Lepisosteus oculatus: one gene and its partners. The protein of the gene in region 2 purifies or fractionates together with the protein of the main gene of each other region. This does not show direct contact. Links are inferred from orthologs where the notes say so. Each region holds a gene or a part of one and is shown on either strand. Other genes may lie near its edges. The genes, in order: mapk1, ptpn5 and mitogen-activated protein kinase 14A.

The links.
Region 1: the proteins of ptpn5 (region 2) and mapk1 purify together in Homo sapiens (affinity purification with mass spectrometry; 4 studies listed by BioGRID and IntAct, with this or other methods). This does not show direct contact. The link is inferred for Lepisosteus oculatus from reciprocal best matches to the Homo sapiens genes PTPN5 and MAPK1.
Region 3: the proteins of ptpn5 (region 2) and mitogen-activated protein kinase 14A purify together in Homo sapiens (affinity purification with mass spectrometry; 3 studies listed by BioGRID and IntAct, with this or other methods). This does not show direct contact. The link is inferred for Lepisosteus oculatus from reciprocal best matches to the Homo sapiens genes PTPN5 and MAPK14.

The regions. Positions count from the first base shown.
Region 1 is NC_090717.1:1,962,561-1,968,008, forward strand, and holds the start of mapk1 (mitogen-activated protein kinase 1), read right to left. Parts: upstream 3,211-5,448; 5' UTR 2,908-3,210; coding exon 2,762-2,907; intron 1,631-2,761; exon of another isoform or gene 1,344-1,630; coding exon of another isoform or gene 1,321-1,343; intron 1-1,320. UniProt on the Homo sapiens protein: Serine/threonine kinase which acts as an essential component of the MAP kinase signal transduction pathway. MAPK1/ERK2 and MAPK3/ERK1 are the 2 MAPKs which play an important role in the MAPK/ERK cascade.
Region 2 is NC_090716.1:13,384,187-13,389,634, reverse strand, and holds the start of ptpn5 (tyrosine-protein phosphatase non-receptor type 5), read right to left. Parts: upstream 3,532-5,448; 5' UTR 3,220-3,531; coding exon 3,174-3,219; intron 2,245-3,173; coding exon 2,039-2,244; intron 1,339-2,038; exon of another isoform or gene 1,262-1,338; intron 1-1,261. UniProt on the Homo sapiens protein: May regulate the activity of several effector molecules involved in synaptic plasticity and neuronal cell survival, including MAPKs, Src family kinases and NMDA receptors.
Region 3 is NC_090700.1:36,016,743-36,022,190, reverse strand, and holds the start of mitogen-activated protein kinase 14A, read left to right. Parts: upstream 1-1,869; 5' UTR 1,870-2,452; coding exon 2,453-2,571; intron 2,572-5,448. UniProt on the Homo sapiens protein: Serine/threonine kinase which acts as an essential component of the MAP kinase signal transduction pathway.

The DNA of each region.
Region 1 (5,448 bases), on a different chromosome or scaffold from region 2:
GGCCCGCGCGACTGTTGGGCGAGACCGGCCTCTACAGCCCAGGCAGAAGGACGGACCCCTTCTGCGCCTGACTGGCAACTGGCTGCCCCTTGTCTTTCCCTTCGCTCGTTTGTTTTACAGTCTCCTCACCGACTACAGGGCCCCTGCAAGGCCTCACCAAGAACATAGAATCGCCGTGTGGCGCCTCCACGCTTCAGATCAATCATTTCGCGATTTTCATACTCCTATCCAAGATGCTCCCAGATTGCATCTCTGCAGAGCATCAACGAGAAACGTTCCCCAGCATCCACAGCAATGAAGGACCTGCGTACTTCCTGCGAGCACATTTCACAGAACCTCCATCACTTCAAGATTACTCATTTGACAACCCCCCACACTGTATATCCCTTTGTTTTTGTTGCAGTGAAGCATGCATTCTATCAACACCCTCAGCTTCCTGCTCAGATAACACATGCACTGCGCCTGCCAGTGCTCTCTTAGCTAGTTGGATCTCTCATTTTCTTCCGCTTGGATGCAAAGTAAGGTCTAACGAAAAGAGATCTGGCAAAGCAGGCTGCGAGACCGCACAGGTCATGGGCATTTGCACACAGAAGGCAGACAAAACCTCTGGAGTCTCTTTACGTCCTAAGATGCAATTATCTTCATCAAAAGGAGGGAGGTATCAGTTCAGGCAGTCGATATCTCATTTGCTTTTAACGCTGAGCCTCCTCATAAATGCCACCAAAGATGGACGCTCTCAGCAACTTAGATGTACAGCAGGCAGCTGGTAAATAAAACCCACTGGACGACAGAAAGGTTCAAACAAGGCTGTGTATAATAGGATCATTGCTTAATTTCCTGTCTCTACATCTGATAAATCCTGGTTTCTTTAACCACTGAGCAGCACCCTGCACACCAGCGGTTTCTAACGCATCACTCAGAAGAGTTAAGGAGCGAAGATAAAATTGATATTACGCACCTGAAAGGACAAAAAGTGAAAATCTCATTTCAAGGCAGAACTGGTCATCTAAGTCCCGAATTTTTTTTAATTTTAAAATTTTGAGGCTCTTGCATCTTATTGGGGACTCTACTGTGCTGCACAGAATATGCATACGCACTGCATCAGGAAAAGGAATCTGAACTTCGGGAACACCTGTGACGGCCGGACTAATGAAGAGGCCAGAGCATTCTCACACAACGCCACACCTGTGGCACGATGCACGAACTCCACAAACCGCACCCTTCCCCTTTCACAAAGCAAAACCGCTGACACATTCTCCTACCCTTCTATTCACTAGGAACCGATTGCAACACAGCTGCGAAGGACCAAAACATTATTACCTGACGGGTCTGCTTTGATTCATTCAGTTTGTGGGGGTATAAATCGCGCTCCTGTCTGCTGAACTAGGTAGGCCCGTCCCTCTTCCTATAAATATCGCTAGGCGTGGCTTAACTGCGTGGTACAGAGTGATATCGCTTGTGGCGATCTGCACTCACTCCGGGAAAAGGGACTTGTTTCAAAGGCGTTCTCGATAAACCCAGCCCCTTCTTCCAAATCACTAGGGTGAACAGTTTTTGTAAAAAATAAAAACAAAAACAAAATTCGCCCGGAACCGGCATCGCTGTGACCCCGGCGGCCGTCTCGACTCCGGCACAGGAAGCCGAGCTGCGCCGAGACCCCTCTGGGTTCGGGTGGGCAGCCGGGGGCACCGGCGCGCACACGCACACGCCCCGCGGACACGGGCGGACATTCCGCCGCGCTCCGCGCGAGAGCTCCCCGCAGCTCGTGACGCCGGGCCGCCAATCAGCACCTTCCCATTCCCATGAATTGCCGCTCGCGCTGGAGATCGCCTTACCTGCAACTCGGAAAATGCAACAAGCGATCTCTCCGAGGGGGGGTGGGATTCAACTCTTAGATGCCCCAACGAGGGGATGCCGCCAAGTGTGACACCCTATACCCCACAGCGACGCAGCAAACGACGAGCCTCGCCCTCCTCCAAGGGGGAAAGAGGCAGCGATTTATGCGCTATCAACTGAACACACTGATTGATAAGGCGGGACACGGGGAGATGCTCGTTCCCAGAAACGGCGCACATCTGGATAAAACTACCCCCCCCCCCCCCCCCCCGACTGGATCGCCCACTGCCCGGCTGTCAAAACTTGGGGTGTGCTTTCCATAGGTATTGGGCTTCAAGCCGCTAACGGATATCAATAATGCGCGTTTACCGGGAAACGCGACGTCGTCAAGTAACATTTCAGCATTTGTTGTTTAATAAAGATGTTGTTGTTTAATAAACAACACGGCGGACACAAGCAGCAATGATATAGCACCCGAGAGTTCGAGCCGGCTCCAAGCACAGGCGGCTCCGAGTTGTAATCCGCTAGCTACACCCCTTACGGCAAAGGGTGTTGCCCTTCTCTGCATTGAAAAGTGAAAATCAATGACACATCGGAACAAAAAAAAACCCAACATTCCCAATCCGGCTCTCGCAGACCTCTCTCTCTCTCACTCTCGGGGTCCGTCAGCCTCACGGCTCCATCAACAAGTACGACGGCGGCGAGTCCCGACACCGAGCGAGCTTCCCCGACAGCGCGGACGGAGAAAAACCGTAAAAAAAAAAACTTTGCATGCATGTGTAGCACGAACTGAGTTTCCCCCCTCTCCTCCGCCGGCAGGTCTGGAGCCTCTCTCGCCCGGCCGTGCACACAGCACCCAGCGCCGAGAGACTCAAGACACCGCGGCCGTGGCGTCCAGCCCCCCCGGCCCCCGAACACAACTTACCACACCATGCCGTAGGCCCCCTCGCCGATATAGGACAGGTTGCTGTAGCGGGGACCCACATCGAAGGCCTGTCCACGGACCAGCTCGGCTCCCGATCCGGTGTTGGGGGCGCCGCCTGCAGCACCAGATACCGCGGCTGTCGCCATTGTTAACTAGCTGCCCACACACACACGCAGAAGGATGGGTGGGAGAAGAGGAAAAAAAACAGAAAATCTGGGAAGAAAAAGTCCTAGCTACGAGGAAGGGGAAGGGGCCGGAAAAAAAAAACCTGAACAAACGAGCTTTCAGTCCCAGGAGCCGAAGAAACCGTACGGCCTGTTGATCGCCTGTCAGGATGGTGAGAGGGAGGGGGAGACGAGCCGTGGATTACTTTGCTACAGTCTAGCAACCTTGTAGACTCGCCCGCAGACTGCGGCAGGCAGGCAGCTCCACTGCAGGAAATAACGGGCTGGTCATGTGACCGGGGAGCGCAGGGGCGAGAGCGAGGACTCGGTCACGTGAGGGGGGTGCGCTTGCGCCGCGGGGACGGGGGAGCCTGTCACGCCGGCTGGGGGTCTCTGGTCTTCTCGGACAGACAGCAAGGGACTGCTCGGCTCTGGAGCAACCAGGAGCTGAATCAATTATTGTTTTTTTTTTGCAACTGGACAGGAGCCGATTCTAATTGATGGCCCAATCCAGAGTTCAAGATTTAATTCATGGAAGAGCAGAGTTGCTGTACAAAAGTGCATTTAAACTGTCCCGGAGTCTCTTTGACAACTATGTTTTTGTATCGCTTTTATTTTCTGTTTCCCTGAAATCATATTGCATATGAGAATTCCGTTCGTATATCCGAATTAATGATTTCTGTTAGAATTGTTTTCATTTGGAGATGGACTGCACGAACACTGCATTTTGTAGTTATCTTTACGCGTACAGCGGGTGATGGTTTTCGCCAGTGAGAAACGATAATACAGCGTAAAAAAAAAAGAAGATGTGATTCAATCTGATAACGCCACTTTTTAATCTGTCAGATCTGGGCAGGGCGGAGTCAAGCCGCCGATGATACACAGTGAGATCAACCGCAAGACCTGCGGGAGCGGTCAATGATATCTAAAAAAAAAGGCCAAGAAAATCCTGTCGTTTGGCACCGATGGAAATGCAACAGAGCCCACTGCAGAGATTTCCCCCAGTTCGTCATCCCCCCAGAGTGACACAAGAGGATCTGCTTTGCCCGAAGTCGCAGGAAACGTGACTCAGAGAAAATGATTACACGGCCCTTTCGGAGCCTGTAAACACGAGCTGGTTCCTACACACCGCCGCCACCCGCCTGTCGGACGGAGAGATCTGCAAAAAAGACATCAGAAGGCATAAAAAAAATCGGGGAGCGTTTCCTCTGTCGTTCTCGGTTTTGTCTGGAATGGCCAGTTCAGCCCTGTAGCAGTTGGTTGCTAGTAAGAATCTAACTTAGAGAAGGAAACCAGTAGAGAATTTAGTATGTTTCGTGTTTTATCATGCCTGGGATTTACCTCGTTATTTAAAATGAAAAGCGTTACTAAAGTATATAATTTAACTATTACTTGCGCCGTGGCAGTGAAACTATAAGCGCATTTGTGCCAAAGAAGTTCACTTTGAAAAGTGGCTCCTTGAAGCCGTTTGATTTGTCTTTTCTTATAGAGGGGAGACTCCTGGGAAAGCTGAGGCTGGAAGAGGTGTTAGTGGGAGCAGTAGGGGGCGCTCACCCTGCGGTCTGTGTGTGTCCTAATGCCCCAGTACAGTGACGGGGACAATCTACTGAAAAAAGCCACCGTCCTTAAGATGAGACATAAAACCCAGGTCCCAACTCTCTGTGGTCATTAAATATCCCAGGGTGTTTCTCGAAAAGAGTAGGGGTGTTACCCTTGTGTCCTGGCCAAATTTCCCCCTGGCCTTTACCCATCATGGCCTCTTAATAATCCCCATCTCTGAACTGGCTCCATCACTCTGCTCTCCTCCCAATTTAGCTCCTGTGTGTGGGGAGTGTACTGGTGCACTCTGGCTGCTGTCGCATCATCCGGGTGGGGCTGCACACTGGTGGTGGAGTTACCTGTAAAGTGCTTTAAGTGGAGTTTCTTAAAACTGATGAGGATGCGCGGATACTCACGGATATTCGGAGTAGGCGATTACTGCTGTCTCATTTACTGCCACCTTGTGGTTTAACTTCGTAATAACATCTCAATGACCCCGTCAAAAGGTTACGTGTGTGAAAGACGCAAAACGACCTCTTGAACCGAAGTCGTTTCACCAGAAGACCTGAGCTAAACAATCAAGATGACCAATTATGGATAATTATTACCGTAACTTTCTTCCACTCGTGTAACGTTATTTAAGACACTGTCTGAAGCTGAAATATTCTTACCTTTTAGTCACGATCAGTGACTAATGTCGTGCCTCACCAAATGAAATATCTTTGAAAGTATTGAATAGGCTACAGTATTCTCAGAAATCTGGCTTAAGCATGTGCCTTTTATGCCTCAGGTTGGGGGTTCGAACCCAGCTGTCAAACTGAGATTTCTTTAGGCGTGGAGTGGTGGCTTTGTGGTGAAGGATCTGTGCTTGTAGCTGTGCTTGCTGGCTCAAATCCTATGGCTGGCAGAGAAATCCCACTGTGTTGGGTGCCCGAGCAAGGCCCTTAACCCCAACTGCTCCTGGGGTGGCGTATAAATGGCTGA
Region 2 (5,448 bases):
TTTTTATTTAAAATGTCTACTACAGACGGAGTGGATCAGGACAGATCAGGACCCCAAGGAAGAATGATGACATAAAGGAAAAGTTAGCGAAACACAATACAGAAATGTTAGAAAATTCATGAGGCCAGAGGGATGCAAATTCTTTTCTACTGTAAGACTTGAAATGTGGGCAGTGTGGCGCCAGGGGCGTGATGGAGATCCAAGTCGCAGAAAGCAGTCATTAAAGAAAAGTGATGCATGCCATCGCTTCAGAGACAGGATCTCAGTCTTCAGTTCACCATCAGTAGAAGTCTGGGTTAACACAGTGCTGCTGAGGTTTTACAGAAGAGTCAAGGTCAAGAAGATAAGTGACAGAGATGCAAGCAGCTTTGTTTCAGTGACTGAGTAGGTATAAAAGTGCTTGCATTGAATAAAAGCCAAAGAAAGCGAGGAGAATCATGTTAGCACAGACATGGCTTGTGGCAAGGATGTGAGAAAGGTTAAGATCTGAACACCCTAGAGCTCCAGAGGAGGAGAATAATTTCTGTGGTAAAGAATGTGCTGAAGGGAACTCAGACATCTTAAAAATTCTAGACAGAAAGAGCTCTAGCTAAATGAGGGATGAGCCAACAGAGGACTGAGCTGGTGCAGCACTTGAAATTGAGTTGGGCTGTGAAATCATACCTGTCTTGCCAACACACCCCATGAAGTGCTTGTTGTTTAGGACTGATAGGCATAAATACAAAGGCATTAGTGATGATGGCTAACATGTGTTATGTGTTTTGTTCTATTGCTTTGATCAGGTAAAGAGATTTCAATGATTGTGTAGCACAGAGGAAAGGTGGATTAAAGGTAATAGCCCTACTAATGGCAGCAGCAGGGAATTTATGAAGCAGAGAATGGTGGTGTTTATGAAGTTGAGATGGTGAGGTGCATTCAACCACAATGCATGTGGTTTGTATAGTAAGAGAGCTAATTCTGACGTGAGCAAAGGGCATAATGGAAAAATGGGGAAAATGTGCCATCAGTGGTCGGACTGACTCCTGTGAACTGTGGGGAAAAGGTGCGTGATAAGGCAGAGATCTGCATGGAAGAAGGCATTCAGCGAGTTGGGGAAGAAGGTTTGAGTCCGTTGACTCATTGAACAGGTCAGACTGGCTAGGCTTGCATGGAAAAAGATGAACTTGGAGAAGACACTCAACACTGATGGCTGTTGGGAAAGTTGTGAGGGGACTGCCGCCGTTGGGCAGGGATGGATGGATATCGGCATGGTGGGACTCACCCCTAGGACATCTGGGAGAAAACACTGCTTTTGGATTTGGTTCTCCAGCTGGAGCCTGAAGCACTGCAGTTTGGATTCTTTCAAACAGGAGGAAGAGAGCAGCATGGTAAGGCCTGACTGACGAGAGCAAATGGCTAATGCGAAAATGAAACATGTGAGTGAACATGCGAGAAGCATGGTGATTATACATAGACGGGCAGATGTGATGAGACTAGACTTTGACCTCCTCCTGAGCTTTTTTTACAACCCCATTAAAGGAAAAATGGGGAACAACTGAATAAATATGTGTGGAATTGTACCCCATGAAAGGACTGCAAAGACTAAGGGACTTTAGTCAAATGGCCTCAAGCATTAAAATTCTCACTAGTGTATATAGTTGTTTCTGCATGGATTGAGGGGATTTCCACAAGCTGAATTTACATAGGGAAGTGTGACACTAGGCCACTGAGGGGGTGGCTGGAGAGAAGGATTTGGCTAGACTTATTCCGTTTATGGAGCAAGGTGCGAATAAAGGCTGCTTTAGACACACCCGAAGAAGGCTCCACAGCTGAAAAGTTGTGTTTTCTTTCTTCTCTTGTCAGCACGGAATAAACCTATTACTTGCTCCTTTGCAGCCTAAGCATGCTGACGCAGCTCCCCACCTGAACTTCTAAAGTCTGGTTTATATCTGTGCTGCAGTGGAGTTTTTGGGTGTGATTGTGATTGCTTTCCCGCTCGTGCAGAACAAAATGAAGCTTTGTGCCAAGTAGAACTTAGAGCGCCATGTTCAGATCCTACCGCTATTTGGGAGAAGACACAAACGCAGACGGTGCAGCCAGCGGTCACCACGGCCCTCCATAGCTTCTCCCACCACGGGCCCTGGGGGTCCTGTGGGGAGCTGTGGGGGGGCTGAGCCACTCTACCCCGCTCCTCCTGTTGTGCGTCAGCTTGGGCAGGTGGGCCTGTCATTGAGTTCTGGGTCATGATCCCTGACAACCGAAGACCTGGAGGCAAAAACAGGAGAGATCATCTCTCTGGATGCACAGTCTGAGACATAGAGTCCCTCCAGCACAGTGTGCTGTATAGTACAGAGTATACAGTGGTATAGTGGAGTACATGTGTTTGCCTGTTGATCCCACTAACTCTTTCAGAATCTCGATCAGTGCTGACTGTCAAGACATTCCTTACCTATTGCCCATTAATCGAAAAATAGACGCTACAGAAGTGCCCATGTCTGAAGGAAAAAAAATGAATGTGGAAGACTTTTTTTATTTTTTTTGTTTATTTTAGGATTCAAGTGTAGCCTAAGAAAAACATGGGTTTATTTAAAAAATGCCCCAAATGGCAATTTTGGAATTTAAATCGACCCTGTCCGTCAATGGGGTGTCAACAGATTTTTCTCTCTAATAAAACATGCATTTTCATACCTGCTTTTCATAGTTATGAAGAGATTTGTGCTACAACAGAGGTGCATAGTCAAATGGAAGATGCCATCCTCATAGCATGTCCTTCCATAACATACTGTACTGTAGGTCAATGTGTCTGTATTCTTAAGAGTTTTTACACATTTTATCTTCATCACGGAATCGCGGTAAATAAGGTTAATATCTTAACCAAGCAACAGTGTTCTTAATTTGACAGATTCAGGACTGTGTTAGGGTAAACACAAGGGGTGCTGGGTGATTTTCAAAACCTATAAATAGGTTTAGAAATGGGAATATTTCATATTTAAAGTAATGATACTTTTATTTTCAACGTATGAATTTTCACATTATGAACACTTTCCAAGGAACAAATTACATTCATAAAATGAAGCTTGAGTGTACTTGACATTGCTGAAAAGCTGTGTTAAAATTCATCTGTGATAAAAATCCATCTTTTTGTCCTTGTGTTCATGAACTTACGTTCATAAACTTCAGGATGTTTTCCTGACCTGGGTTGCTATCTGCATGGAGTGAGCAGGTTCTCCCTGTGTTCATGGGAGTTTCCTCCGGGTGTTCTAGTTTCCTCCCACAGTCCACATGATGGCACTTCTAGGAAACCGGCCCCGGTTTGCATGTTTGTGTTGATGTCTGCGTTTCTGTTTGCCCTGTGATGGAGTGGTGTACCCTGCCTTGCGTCCATTGCTTGCCTGGTTAGACTCCGGCTCCTCTACAACCCCGATGAAGCCATTAGAAAAAGGATGAATGAAAGTGTATACAAAGGCTGGCAAAGTACAGGAGAAGAGTTTCTTTCCTCAAACTGTAAACTTCTTTTGTGAATGCTTCAACATGCAGTAAGTTTCACTGTGCCACCAGGACAGGTCTAGGACAGGTGTCACTCGGTTTACATTTCTCTTCTTGAAACTTGCCTCCTCCCCTCTGTGGTGTCAACGGGCTTCCTGTTGGAGCTGCAGTTCATGGCACCAGTGTCAGACGTCTCCCAGTGAGCTAATGTCTGCCCACCTTCTCACCACTCCGAGCCTAGTGTGGGTGGATTCTCATTACTCGCCTGTCTCTGAAAGCCATTCTCAGTGCTCAATGCATCTCTTTTTATCATGATACTGTCATTCTTAATATTTTATAGGTTGGTGTCAAAGGTTAAAAAAAACAAAACAGTAGGAAATCATTGACCATCATTGATGGTTAAAGCACATAGGTAATTTGTTTTTGAAGTAAGTTCAGGATAAAAAACATAATTATGATTAAAACTCATGTTTAAAAAAGTAAAGTCCAGACCAGAACCACATCAACTCATTGAGAGAGCTTATCCTGGTTTCTGTAGTGTTAAGCGAACTTCCTTTTCCATATAGACACTTCACTACACCCACATAGTGTAGGAATATAATAAAACTCAATTTCATTGGATAAAGATGACAAAAGGTCAAATAGGCATCAGCATGCTTATGTAGACCCAGATACACTTCTGTTTTTACAGCCAGCCAGTAAAAGGCTGCTTCTCCTGCTCCTCTTGTCAAACGATGCATGAGTCTGGTGTGAACTGCTGTTTGAAGTCTGAGGCACTAGTGAAAATTCAGTGATTGTGCACAACCCAGTCAGCTGAAGGGGATACTAGCAATATTAGGATTTTGATATATTTAAGGCCATAAATCATCTGTGAGTGCTGAGCGAAAAAAAGAGGACCAAACTTCATTGAGTACTTCAGAACAGGTTTTGGGACTTCGGACCTGTACATAATGGGCTGAGTGGGATTCTGTTTGAACATATTTCATTCTGATTGCTCCAGTAAACGCACTACCTACCTTGTTTTTTAGATCAGATTAGTCTCAAATGACTAACCTGATTTAAACAAAATACATACCAGACAACATATTCACTAGATTAACTGAATTAAAACGCACTAGGTTTAAAATTCACTAAATTAACATAATTAAAATGCACTAGGCACTAGACTAGTACTGTAGCGCCCTCATCAGGCAGTGATGTGGCACCAAGCAGACAAGCAACGGGGCTGGTGATGTCAGCCCCAGGAGAGCATGCTGGGATAAATGCGTACTTGTCTGGGATAGTGGGGAATCACCAGGGGCATTGTTAACTCCCAGGGCTCGGGGGAATGGCATGTTATGTGAGTATACTTGTGTGGTTCTCCCATGTTTCCCCATCCTAGTCTGTGGTCTCAGGTTCCCACTATGACCTGTCCAGCCTCTGCTAGTCAGCACCCCCAGCATCATGGTAGTATAGTGGCGTATTTCTTATGCTCTTCCCATTCTTATGTGCATTTATTGCCCATGTCAGAGTATTCAACCCAGTTAACTCATGTCATCCAGGTCTTCACAGTAAATTACAGATACCCTGGCTTACTGTATGATTGGGTAAGAGCAGCTGGCTGACCTGCAAACAATCACACAGCCCATACAGTATGTCCAGAACCTGTGCCACCCTTTAGTACAGCCTAAACCATTTGTTCTCCAGCATACACAATCATTCGCAATCCCTCCTTCCAAGATGAAACCTAGACAGACTGAATGCCTTTCCTTCCTGGCGGTTCTTATAGGCTCTACATTAGCCCAGAGGCATGACTAATTCCATGTAGCCCCTATCCCTTCAGCTCCTTTCCTTCATGTGGAATCTTGCTCCCTCTGTGTGCTAACTCCAGTAGACCAGCTTGGCCTCATTCTGTGGGCTTTTGCAATACATTTGTGCCTCCCTCACAACATCACAATCATAAAATGTACATGTACAGTTGGATGGATTTATGTCTGTGGTGGT
Region 3 (5,448 bases), on a different chromosome or scaffold from region 2:
CGTAGTGAACTAAAGTAAAATGAGCAAACAGAAAAAAGCTTTCAAATTGCGGCAGACTTGCAATTTCGCTGTGCCGAACCACCCCTGAGTAATATTTAATAACACGCTCAAAATACGAAGCCAAAACATCATTTTTTTCTTCCATCAGTACATTTCAAGGCATGTTCGGAATGTCCCCCGGACCTCCGGTGAATCTGTAACTGGCGGGCGTGCTTCTGTCTCTCACAAAGCTGGGCGAAGTTGCGCCCCGAACGGCTTCACTGAAGTCTTCAGGTGAACCGAAGTCGTCGTCTTTTTTAATTTCCCAGGTTGTCCATTTCCTTCCTTTCCGTTGTGGGACGCACACATCCTTTGTGCGTCGGGAGGAATGTTTTTTTGAACAAATAAATTAACACGATCTTATCCCACGGGCTGTGCGTGTAACGATCATCCCATAGGAAACATCTGTGAAGTCTGAAGAATGAGAAAGGAATTTTCGACCTCCTCCCAATATTAACTGGAATCATTACTGTATTATTATTACTATTTTATTATGGGCCAGTGCTTATTAGTTCACACCCTTTCCATGGGTATTTACACTGTTCAAAATGTTTAACATTGATTGTAGTTACAAATGGAAACTTTGGAATTAAAATTAAATACAACTGACAGTTAAATTACATTCATGGCCAGCAGGATGACACCGATGAAGAAGGAATAATAATTCCTTACACTTATATAGCACTCTTCTGCAAACTCAATTTAAAGCTCTTCGATGTAATGGGGACTCCCCTTCACCACCACCAATGTGTAGCCCCACCTGGATGATGCAACGGCAGTCAAAGTGCACCAGTACACTCACCACACATCAGCTATCAGCAAGAAAGCAATTCATAGATGGGTATTATTAGGAGTCCATGATTGGTAAAGGCGAGGGGGGACTTTGGCCAGGACACTGGGGTAACACCCCTACTCTTTTCAAGAAACACCCTGGGATTTTTACTTACCACAAAGAGACGAGACCCTGGTTTTATGTCTCATATAGGACGGTGAAGGACAGCACCTATATTACAGTAGTGTCCCAATCACTATACTGGGGCATTAGGACCCACTGAGACCACAGGGTGGGCGCCCCCTACTGGTCCCATTAGCACCAGTTCCAGCAGCAACCTTAGTTTTCCCAGGAGATCCCCCATCCAGGTACTGACCATGCTCACACCTGCATACCGTCACTGGTTTACCAGTTGGGGCTTGCAGGGTGATATGGCTGCTGGGAAAGAGTGAACCAAGATCTCAAGTGAGTATTTTAGCAGCCCACTGAAAAGACACATGAAGTGTTGCAGTCTGTCCTCCATCCAACTCAAGCTTAACTGCGAGCTTTGGTGTTTCTTGAGCCTTTTTGAACTTGCAACCCCCTTCACAGTTTAAAACTGACGTCAGGGAATGAGCCCCAGCTTCAATCCCCGGTGGCTGTAAACATGTAATTTAAATCGTTCTCCGTGTTTTCCTAAAAATGTTAAGAATAATTCTGCTCTAGACAGACTAACGGAAAACAAAGGGGGTAACACTGCAATTTTCCTTTCTTAGTAATCGTTCTGGAACACACTTTTTATAGATCTGGAAAACAAGCAAATGTGGACTCCCGGCTTCGGTTTCTCCACTACTTTAAATCAATGCTGTGCAATACGATGAGTCAAAAGTAAATTCGTATGGATTAATTTTCCACAAGCACGGGGAAATCTGAAGGTATTTTAGTTTTTGTACTCGCGTTCTGTTTTCCTATAGTAATGACAATAGGACAAAACTACATGCTTTGACCTCGCAGAAAATGTAGTCGAGCAGAGAGAGGCTGGCAACTCGATCTTTCTGGAAGGTATTCGTGTCGGAAACTTGGCTGTACCTAAAAAAGAATTGGAAGCTTAAAACAAGCACCGAAAACAAAAGCGAATAACTACATCAGCATCGTTGTTTTTTTTCTGTGTAGCGGGGAAATTCCGGGATTAAGTACGTTTTTCGCTTTTTTTTTTGTTTGTTTCAAAGCGTGAAGCCCTCATCTTGAGCACCCCTACGCCGGCTCGGCCTCCTCGCGCGAGACGCGAGACTTGCGTGTCTGGGCCGAGCTGTGGGTAGTGACGGGAGCGCGCCACTGCAGGAGGAGACTGAGAGAAAGCCCACGGCGGACGGGTCTTTACTCCACTCAAACTTGAGGACTGAAGGGGGAAAAAAAAAAGAGAAAGTGTAGAGGGCAAATCGTTTCAACATTGCAGCGGGCTCAAATTTGCATTTGCAACCAGAGTTTTGTTTGCTTGTCCTTTATATTCGAGCTCAACCCGGTGCGCTCCTTTAATTCCTGGGTTGACGTTGTTTTTTTTTTTAGATTTTTACTTCAACTTACATCTTTTGATTTAAGTGGGGGAAGGAGAAGTTAACTTGATTGACTGCGTGGTGCAGCGGGACTGGCTGTTCTGCAGGAATGTCGCAGAAAGAAAGACCCACTTTCTACCGACAGGAGCTGAACAAGACGATATGGGAGGTCCCGGAACGGTACCAAAGTCTTAGCCCAGTCGGCTCTGGGGCTTACGGATCAGTGTGGTAAATTACTTACTTTTATCACTTCGTGTTATTATTGCGTTTTAATGTGTTTCAAGCGTAGTGTATTTGCACAACTCATTGCGTTATGTTTGGCATCGCTTATTGCAGGCCTGATGGTACATTCTTGCTCAATCAAAGCAACGAATCACAGGCAGGCAGGCAGGCCCTTCTCTGCATGGAGAGATCGTGGTTTCGCGAGTTACGCAAAATAGGTTCAGGACCCTGACCCAGTGAAAGATTTCTGCACTTTTTTTTTTCGCAGCCCGTTGTTTCTGGGGGCTCGGTGTGCAACTGTGTTGCTCCCCATCCCTTTGAATGGCGTGTGTTATTTACACGAGATCCGTGAATCGCACGTCTCACTTTTTATTTTAACCTGCGCCTGGTCAGAGTTTTCTCATAACCCGTTGTGAATTTCCTGTGCTCTCCTTCAAATCCCCAGTTTCGTTAAACTTTTTGTTTAAAAAAATGCAGTTTCCGGGAAGCACTGACGCGCCTTTTGCAGTTCTGCCAAATCTTAAGTGTTTTGCATAGGGTTTCTCAATTGTAACTCCCTAGTGGTTGAATGGGGCTTGTCTGGAGTATTTTCTTTTGACTAGATTGTATCTGTGTCGGATCGTTTTTATTTTTATTTTGTTGCGCAGGACAGAAGTAGCCCTTTGTATGTCGTGGTGCAATTGCAGAACGTTGAGTTGAGCACGATTGCTTTCTGGAGACTTTTTGTTGAAGCCCCGTCATTTATTGTTGCAGTTGCAGTCCCTAGTTAATCTTTCAGTACAGAACGATTTGCACCCGTCTACTGACCCGAAGAGACGCTTTATCATGGACAAACAAAACCAACCACCCGGGAGTGATAAGCTGTGTCGTGTTGGGGGCTGAAATGTGACTCGCACATGACCCCCAGCGACAGGCCGCTTTCTGTTGCCAGATATTTTCATATCTTTCCCAGGGCTGGGTAACGGAAAGCATCAGCTCAGCTGGAAAAGTAACGCGACGGGGTTTCTTCTCATTCACTTGAGAATGACTGTTGTTTACAGATAGCAGTATTAGCATTGCGATTCTGTCAAGAACAGGATGCGCCTCTCACTGAAGTGCACAAATGTAGTTTCATGTTTTTACGCAACATATTAGGAGTAATCGGTTTATAATGTAGAGGGGGCTTCAAGGCAGTGTTGTTATAAAAAAACATCGTGACACTGCGCATCGTTGGTTCTGTTCAGTGCCTTTTCTAATACTTTCAAGTAGACATGACGGTTTCATCATCTTTCTTGGCAAAGGAACACGATCAACTTCTTTTTTTTTTTACTGCGTCGAAACTCATTTCCTAAGTCTGGGTTAACGTCGCTCTCCGGGAATGAAACGTCAAGTTCGCGAATTCCTCAACCGCACCGCCCATGTTTTGAATTATACTGTGAGGTTTACCTCGGCCATTGCATAAGACATATTGACCGTGTACACATGACCAAAACCTCGACATAGCCTTTGACTTGTATATTATGACTCGGCGTGCGCGTACAGTTCAGAGCCTGACAGATGCCTGAGGAATTTTCAAGCGTTTGTCCCTCTCCATTCTTCAGTGTTTCCTCTCCTGAGCCTCCATGTGCTTTTATTTTCTGTAGCCTGATCGTATTGTATGCAGCAGTCGTCGGTTGAGGTAAGACTGCATAATGAAGTCGCCTCGGAATTGCCTGCTGGTATGAGTCACCGGCTGGAGGATTAGTTGGAACCATCCGGCTGACTGCTCGGCGCGTCACGTACAGCGCAAGACCTCGTCTCCTTTCCGAAATGAATTGCAGATGTCGCGCCAGTTAGTTTGCCGTGGAGTGATGGAAAGCATCGTTTTATCTTTGGTTTCCCCGGGAAAGGGATCTGCCAGCTGAGGCGCGCATACCTCCTTGCTTGTGTGTGAGAAGGGGCACCTCGAATTCTTTCTCTCTCCTGCTGTTCCCAGCCTTCACTGAGAGGACGGTGTGCTGTGGGTCCCGCTGCAATGACATGCAAAGTGTGCCTTGACGCAAGTGAGAGAATAGGAGTGCACGCATTCCTCGTGGTAGTGTTAGCAGCTGTGTGGCAGCCTGAGGAGACCGAGCAGGATTTATGTTTGTGAAGCTTGTGGGAATGTGGCGGTGTGGAACAAGCTACCCAGCCACGTGGGTGAAGCCGATACTCTGGCTTCTTTCAAGAAACTGCTGGATGAGATTCTTAGTGCAGTTAGCCAAGCACCACCATATGGGCCAGAGGACCCGACTGGCCTATTTCTCACTTGTGTCCTTTCTGCTGTTCACATGACTTAGCTGTCCCTTTTCTGTAGCAGAATAAAACCAGCAGCATTCCTGTTGGTGGTCTTCGCTTCCATTCGTCTCCGTTTTCTCAAAGGCTGTCTTGCGTCAGCAGAGAGCCTTGTTCCGATCCTGGGCTCTGTCAAAGTGGACGCAGTCCTAAACTGCTGCAGTGAAGACCTTATCTCAGCTAGTGACTAAAAGTGTATCTTCTGTCGCTTGAACTCTGCCCTGTTTTAAGCAATGCTGAAGAAGGGACATGGCCAATATCTGCACAGAAACTGGTAAGGCTCCTGTTGCATAGTAGTTTGAGCTGCTGCAGGTTTTCCTAGCAAGGAAGCTCGTGCTTCAGTGCTGATGGATGCGAGGGCTATATTGTGTGGAACCGTGGGAGTTTTCTAGCCCGTGCCAGGCACTGTGTGTGGAAGCAACGCAGCGGAGAACCCCAGCTGGTGCCACCAGAGAGCTCACAGCAGGTGCTATCGTTGAGGTTTTTTTAGCCTCAGCCCTTCGCACAAGGTTAAGCAGAGCTGGGCTTGTTCGAGGAAAGTCTCAAAGCACTGTGGGAGAATCTGTGCTTGGGGTCAGGAGAACCCCTAGA